Arabidopsis thaliana: one gene and its partner. The protein of the gene in region 1 interacts with the protein of each later gene in a pairwise test. Each region holds a gene or a part of one and is shown in the gene's direction. Other genes may lie near its edges.

Evidence for each region.
Region 2: the proteins of AT5G55650 (region 1) and SOBIR1 interact in a protein complementation assay, tested with the Arabidopsis thaliana proteins (one large-scale study listed by BioGRID).

What each region holds. Positions count from the first base shown.
Region 1 is NC_003076.8:22,534,171-22,537,802, forward strand, and holds AT5G55650 (uncharacterized protein), read left to right. Parts: upstream 1-1,901; 5' UTR 1,902-2,189; coding exon 2,190-2,654; 3' UTR 2,655-2,806; downstream 2,807-3,632.
Region 2 is NC_003071.7:13,552,988-13,557,736, forward strand, and holds SOBIR1 (Leucine-rich repeat protein kinase family protein), read left to right. Parts: upstream 1-1,906; 5' UTR 1,907-1,932; coding exon 1,933-3,858; 3' UTR 3,859-3,990; downstream 3,991-4,749. Other genes in the region: TEJ (Poly (ADP-ribose) glycohydrolase (PARG)), read right to left, coding at 244-429, 527-769; RAP, read right to left, coding at 4,113-4,181, 4,378-4,460, 4,552-4,749. UniProt on the Arabidopsis thaliana protein: Dual specificity kinase acting on both serine/threonine- and tyrosine-containing substrates. Acting as a counterplayer of BIR1, promotes the activation of plant defense and cell death.

The sequences.
Region 1 (3,632 bases):
GGAGAAGGAGATGTTAGGGATACTTTTGTAATCTACTATCGATGGTCGGTATTCAGCCACGTGTCAGCTACTCATTCGTGAAACTCCTAGACGAAAATGTTGCGTTGTGCTTTGTGAAACAAAACTAGTACTATGTGTTTGGTTTTTTGTTTATATTAGGGAAATTGCACTCTATATACATATAAAATTATAAAATTAAGTATTAGAAAAAACTACTCTCGAATCTTTTCTCTCTATCATGAAAATACCCTTATATCTCTATACCATATTTGCTTTTGACGTTAAATATTTTGTTACCTTTTAATAATAATGTTATCATCTTCCCATAATTATATAATCTTTAAAATCAAATCGTTGGTTCAATAGCTGGTAATTTGTTTATATCGTCAATTGTATTATTAACATGTTAAGTAGGTTTGTACCCTAAGTTTTTTCATCCATATATCAAAATCCTATCCATATTTTGCTAACAATATTATCCCGATAATACGTTATCTATTAACTATTCTGATGCACGTATTTTTTCTACATGATTATTCAGTCGCAAGTCAACTTTTATGGTATTCATGTTAAATATTTTATTATCTTTTAATAATAATGTTATCGTCTTCGCATATATATGTCTTTGAAATCTAAACATTGGTTTAATAACTGAAAATTTGCTTATATCGTCAAATATATTATTAACATATTAAGTTGGTTTGTACACCATGTCATTTCATCCATACATCAAACCCCATCCATATTTCGCTAACAATATTATCTCGATAATGCGTTATCTGCTAATTATCAGAGTTTTACCATATCACTTTGTAGGGGTATATTTGTCATATAGATTTTAATTGAAAAGAGATACCTAAATAAATGGTATTCATGTACAGATTCTTAATTATTTGATGGTCCATGTATAGATTTTTAAATCACCCTTTATATTATTGCTTTGTCTTTTTTTTTTTTTGTGAACATTATTGCTTTGTCTCTATATCTTTCATATTTTCACAAATGCAGTATGCCATATCATTTTGTAGTTACAAGAGTGTAGAGTTACTATGACTATGAAAAACAATTAAGTAAAATTTGCTTATTATAACTTTTAAGATATAAGAAATCAAATTACTTTTTCAAGGAAGCACAAAGCATAATAACGAAATCGTTGGATCCAATCCAACAACACTCGTATCGGATTTTTTTTTGGATATTTACCACAACAGCTAACAGTAGTAAAAGTTGTATCTCCAAATGAAAGCACACTATTAATATTTCAAGATTATCGAAATTTGAGTATCAAACAATTTAACCGCCAACTCTTGTTCTTTTATTAAAACAATTTTTCAGTTCATCGCTATCAACGTTTCACAATCTTACGATTTAATAACATCATTTCTTAGATAATTTCTTTTGTTAGTATTATATGATATCATATCATATCATATCATATCATTGATATCATATCATTAACCATCTCATGATTACCATTGAAAACAAATGGAGTCTTTTGTGAGACAAAGGTAGGTTCCTAAAGGATAAAGTGACAATTCCCTAAATTTCTTTAAACAATCAGAGGAAGAAATAATGATCACTTCAGTTGAGAATATTTTCAATAAATCAGATCGACAATCCTAGTTGACAACCAAAAAAATAAACGACAAACTTATGAAGGGGGTAACTTCTAGAGAAAGATTAAACTAGTACAACTTTACAAGTAGTTTTCAACCAAAGCTTAATGATACTAATATTTCCTTAACAAAAACAAGCATCCTTAATTAGTGGGCTTCACATGGATTTACCAAATTCCAAAGCTTTTTATAGATTTTTCAAAGTGTTTTATTTTTTCAAATACGTACATGCAAAAACCAATGCTTTTCCTTTTCTCGAAAAAATTTAGTTGCAGGTGTAATTATGTAAGTGTGAGAAAACAAATAAAGCTTTCTTGTTTGGTTCCTCTGACTTCCTCTGATTTCTCTCTCTCTCTTTCTCAGACTTGTCTCAAACTTTTCAAGAACTCAGATTCGTCTCTTTTCAATCTCTCTTCTTAAATCAAGATCCAAACATCGAAACTTTGGTTTAAAGATTTGAATAAGTCATAACTCAAAGATCCATTAACATCAATGGATAACGACACAATCTCGACTTCTCTTTATAACTAGCTCTGTCTTTGTTTTTGCTTTGAATTAAATAAAGTTTCTATAATGGTGGAAAAATCTGATGATGAAAAGCATTTTACTCGGTGTTGCTTTCTTTCACAGCTGTCACTGCTGTTTTTTCTTGTAACCCTAATTTCATCTGTAGCTTTCCTCTGTTTCTTGAACTCTCAAGGAGTCTCCTCTCTCACAATAACCATGGCAATCTTGTTCGTCTCCTCTTCTGTTTTCTTGTTACGAATCTTCAAGGAAAAGACAAGACTATGTTTGGCTGAGGGGTCCCAAGGAGAAGGCTACGATTATGAAGATGATGATGATGATGATGGTCTCATTGAGATTGATCTTGTGAGCGAAGAAGCAGAGACTATAGAGGCAATGAGAAACATTAATCAAAGTCGACTGAGAATTAGGATTGAAGAAGAACAAGAAGAAGATATTGATGATGTGAATATGGAAGAAGATAATCTTATTGAGATTGATATTTCCATTGGATCCATTAAAAGACGAATGTAATTTAGTTTAATAGATCTCATGATCACACCATCGTGTAATCCGATTTTTTCATTTCAAATGTACAAAGGAAATCCAACATTTTAATATATTATTGTTCTAGATATTTGGTGATTAGGGTTTAGGGTTTTAGGAGATATATATCAATCCCTTTTTATAGATGCATATATATATATATATATATATATATATATATATATAGTACTAATTAACTGTGGTAGTTCTTTTGCATTAAGATTGTGTAATAGATTGTTGACAAAAGACAAAAGATTGTGTAATAGATTCCTGAAAGGTTTTGTAAAACAAAACAAAAGAGTTGCAATTTCTTCGAAAGTACTCTCCGAGCATACCCCAAACTCCGCTAACTTATTTTCTATGCCAAAACACTTGTCTTTCTCTTATTGCAGAGTATATTTTTCTTCTTCTTCACTATATCATTTAAACATATAACTTCTTTTTACCAAATTTTTGGTTATTGAAAAACACTTTTCCTTTAACTTTACGAATCAATATACAAGCATAACTTATAATCATCCACCACACTAATCATCATGCACTTTGTTAATTGTTATGGCTTATGAGTCTTATGACTTAACATCCTTTTTAATCTGGTAAATCTAGCAAATAGGAATCCTCTGCAATCTGAATCTTGTTTCGAAATTTGAGAGTATGTTGATCTTGCGAAAATCGAAACAATCTTTGCAATGTAAGAAGATATGAAGCCGCATATGACTAACAAGAAAGTTGGTCTTTATGTCGTCTAAATCAGAATATAAGAGCATCTCCATTGCCTATGAAACTCAGGAGAGTTTTAGAAAACTCAAATATTAATATTTAATTTAAAAATATTGGACCATGAAATATGTAAGCGGAAGAGCCACAAAACAACTATTATTTTGTTTTTGTTCTTTTTTTAGCTAAATAAGTAATAAAATATTCAAAATAAAAAGAAGGAAAAAATGAAAATAAAGAAAGGAAATT
Region 2 (4,749 bases), on another chromosome or scaffold:
TCTTCAACAACACAAGGTCATTATCCAGTATGAACACATGTATATTCAACACAAGGTCATTATCCAGTAAGAAAAGCAAGAATCCATAGAGACTATATCTTCAACACACAAGGTAATCATCCAGTAAGAACACATGTATATTCGACGTAATTTCCTCCCCATAAATCACTACTCAAGAGTCAGGAATAGAACCAAAAAAACACCTTTAGCTCAAATGTAGGAGATAGCACTTTGTATCAATACCTGGCTGAGGAAAACAATGCCAGCTTGTTGGGAATTTAACAAACGAAGACCGGTTTTGATTCCACTAACAATATTATCAGCATTTTGGAAATGCACTTCTAACAGAGATGGAAACTGTAGAAGTAAGCTCGCCAATGCTGGGATAATCTCATCGAACCATCTCTTTGATTCTTTCTCATCAATCAACTGCGAGTACCAAAAACTTAGTTCCACTACTCAATTCGATTTGAAGATACACTCAAATCCAAAAGCAATCACCATAAAGTTAAAAAGAGATAATTACTTCGTCAAAGAGAAATGCGTAGCCATTAGAAGCAGATGGCTCGAGAGTAGAGAAAGATAAGGATCGTCTCATATCGAAAATAGCTTGCCGTAGAACCTCTCCTGAGTCAACTTGGCTGTGAGATGGTCCTTCAGACATTGCCTTTAACGCCTCCACCACACGCGGCGGCCAATACAGCGACGACGAACGAATTACAAGTGGAAGGTACGGAAGAATTGAGTTAAGATCTTCGCGATTCTCCATTTTTCGATTTTTCTAATCTCACAGCTGTTCTCAATTGCTTTTGAAACAGGTTTACGAATCGCTTCTGCGACAAGATTCTGCTGCCGCTAGAAGATACTCAAGTCCCGGAGTAAAAAATCTAAAAAAGTCAAGAGTGCGAAGGCGAAAGGCAAACCGGTTTTGTAGAACCGGGAAGTTGGAACTTGAACCATATCGGTAATGTATTGGTTTAGTGGCAATAACATCCTCGTTAGCTATCTGGTTAACTCATTTTAAGTTAAAAGCCAGTTTCGAGTTATTTCACACTCACCAGTTTGGAATCTTGATACAGACAACGAACGTATTGACGGAAAACGCTAAAAGAAAGTGACTGGAAAATAGAAGGTGTGTGTAACATAACATTTATTTTTTTCTAACGTGTAGGAAACGGTGGCTCACTATGGAACCCACAGCGTAGACTTTGACTTATCAACGCTTACATAGTCAAGTCAATAACAAAATTCGCTATATCAATAATACAGTTTTGCAACTTTCTATATTCACATTTTCTACTTTATTATTTTCCCATAAAACTTCCTGGAAGAATTTAAATCAAAAAAAAAATGTACAATTTAGCCCATTTCACAGGTCAGGATTATCAGTTTTTATAATGGTTTTTTCTTCTTTAGACTTTAATTAAAAACAGAACTCTTATTAAGAATATACAAATAATTCAAAAAGTATACGCTGAATCAATGTTTCTCCAAAACCATTGATAACTAAATATCATAATATAAAATACAATTTTGTTAGGAGATCTTATGTAAGAATTCAGTAATCTATCATTAATATCAAACTAATCAAATAAAATACTAGCAATAGAAAACCCCATTTTTTCGATATGAAACCGGGGCTTGGATGGATCCCTTGAACAAACCATAAATTTTTCAAACTGTTAATTTAAGTTTACCAATTATATGTATAAGTGTATAACAATATTAAGAAATTAACTTGTGAATATATTTTGTAACTTTATTTTTTTTGGGTCAAATATATTTTGTCACTTCAAAAATAAAGTTTTAGAAGAAAAAAAAAACCACGAAACACGTAAAGATTTCTCAATAGATTAGTACCAGTTGCTGACCATAAATAGACAGAGTGTAGACTCCGACAACATCCACAAGAAGAAACTTTCTCTAATTAAAATGGCTGTTCCCACGGGAAGCGCCAATCTCTTTCTCCGGCCTCTCATCCTCGCCGTTCTCTCCTTTCTTCTTCTCTCTTCATTCGTCTCCTCTGTTGAGTGGCTCGATATCGATTCCTCAGATCTCAAAGCTCTTCAGGTCATCGAAACAGAGCTCGGAGTCAACAGTCAACGTTCTTCGGCCAGTGATGTCAACCCTTGCGGTCGCCGAGGAGTTTTCTGCGAGAGACGGCACTCTGCCACCACCGGAGAATACGTTCTCCGTGTCACGAGGCTCGTCTACCGATCCAGGAGCTTGACGGGGACTATCTCTCCGGTCATCGGAATGTTGTCGGAGCTCAAGGAACTTACTTTGTCTAATAACCAGTTGGTCAACGCTGTTCCGGTGGATATCTTAAGCTGTAAGCAACTTGAAGTTCTTGATCTTCGGAAAAATAGATTTTCCGGTCAGATTCCGGGAAACTTTTCTAGTTTGAGCCGTCTTCGAATCCTTGATCTCTCTTCGAACAAGTTATCCGGGAACTTGAATTTCTTGAAGAATCTACGCAATCTGGAGAATCTCTCTGTTGCAAACAATCTCTTCTCAGGCAAAATCCCGGAACAAATTGTGTCGTTCCACAATCTCCGGTTCTTTGATTTCTCCGGAAACCGGTATTTGGAAGGTCCGGCTCCGGTTATGAGCAGTATCAAGCTTCAGACATCTCCACATCAAACAAGACACATTCTTGCTGAAACTCCAACTTCAAGTCCCACGAACAAACCCAACAACAGCACTACATCAAAAGCTCCAAAGGGAGCTCCAAAACCAGGGAAGTTGAAGAAGAAGAAGAAGAAGAGCAAGAAGAAGAAAGTAGCGGCATGGATCTTAGGGTTTGTCGTTGGAGCCATAGGAGGAACAATCTCTGGGTTTGTCTTCTCGGTGTTGTTCAAATTGATTATTCAAGCAATAAGAGGATCAGAAAAACCACCAGGTCCTTCCATATTCAGCCCATTGATCAAGAAAGCTGAAGATTTAGCTTTCTTGGAGAATGAAGAAGCGTTAGCTTCTCTGGAGATCATAGGAAGAGGAGGTTGTGGAGAAGTTTTCAAAGCTGAACTACCAGGAAGCAATGGGAAGATCATAGCTGTGAAGAAAGTGATCCAACCGCCTAAAGACGCCGATGAACTAACAGATGAAGATTCCAAGTTTCTGAACAAGAAAATGAGGCAAATTAGATCCGAGATCAACACAGTCGGCCATATCCGGCACCGGAATCTTCTCCCATTGTTAGCACACGTGTCAAGACCCGAGTGCCACTACCTCGTTTACGAGTACATGGAAAAGGGGAGTTTGCAAGATATATTGACTGACGTACAAGCTGGAAATCAAGAACTAATGTGGCCAGCGAGGCACAAGATTGCTTTAGGTATAGCTGCAGGGCTTGAGTACCTTCACATGGATCATAACCCACGAATCATTCACAGAGACTTAAAGCCAGCCAATGTTCTTCTTGATGATGACATGGAAGCCAGAATTTCAGATTTCGGACTGGCAAAGGCAATGCCAGATGCAGTCACACATATTACAACCTCGCATGTTGCAGGTACTGTGGGATACATAGCACCAGAGTTTTATCAAACCCACAAGTTCACAGATAAATGTGATATCTATAGTTTTGGAGTGATTCTTGGGATTCTGGTGATTGGGAAGCTTCCTTCAGATGAGTTTTTTCAGCATACTGACGAGATGAGTCTGATAAAGTGGATGAGGAACATAATAACATCGGAAAATCCTAGCCTTGCGATTGATCCGAAGTTGATGGATCAAGGATTCGATGAACAGATGCTTCTGGTTCTGAAGATCGCCTGTTACTGTACTTTGGATGATCCAAAACAGAGGCCGAACAGTAAAGATGTCAGGACCATGTTGTCCCAGATCAAGCACTAGTGTTTCAATATGTATTGTTTGCTTCTATCTATATTTCCTAGATTCCTGTTGCATACGAAATAACTATGAACACAATCTTGGCAGAAATTTGTAATGGCGACTGTAAAATTTAAATGGATTTCAATTATGATTATTGCTCTAAACATAAATCATCAATCTACTATAAGAATCTTAGCTATATACATAACGGAAAAGAACACTTGATTAACAACCTTAAAATGACAACACATTACATGTTTGGTTACTTGTCTTCTCTATATGCAGCCGGTGAGAATCTCCCTCAAATATTCTAGCTGTTCATGACTGCCTTCATGTTCTTCCCACTAAAAATAATAAAAACAAAGTCAACACATGTTCAGTATGTACTCCTGATTGAGATGGGAAAACATATCAATTATGCAAGAGCATGTGAGATCTTTTTACTATTGAACAGAACAAGTATTCTAAAAATGGAGACAATTTCTTATCCTAGCAACTCAATTTTATATCAGTTTCCATTTTTCAACGTTATAGACCCACCTCTTGAAGAGACAGAGATACCACTTTCCATCCAGCAGCAGCAACATATCGCCGCTTCAGCATTGTATGCCCTAATGGTAGTCCTGTAGAACACAAGAGTCGAAATGATCATTAAGTTTGGGTTGGCTCCACCAGACACCAATATATATTAAGAAACAGAGTGATGTCACTTACCAGAGTTTCTTGAAAAATGAGTTGGCCCGTCGATTTCTAAAGCAACTTTCTTCTCGACCAGAGCAACATCCACGGTGTAGCCATCCACATCATGTTCTTTAGCCCAATCAAGCCCTGTACTTATAAGAAGGCGTCCAACTTCTTTCTGAAACGATGAGGTTATTTTCTGATTGAATCTTTTGGTTTTTCCTGCGCGGC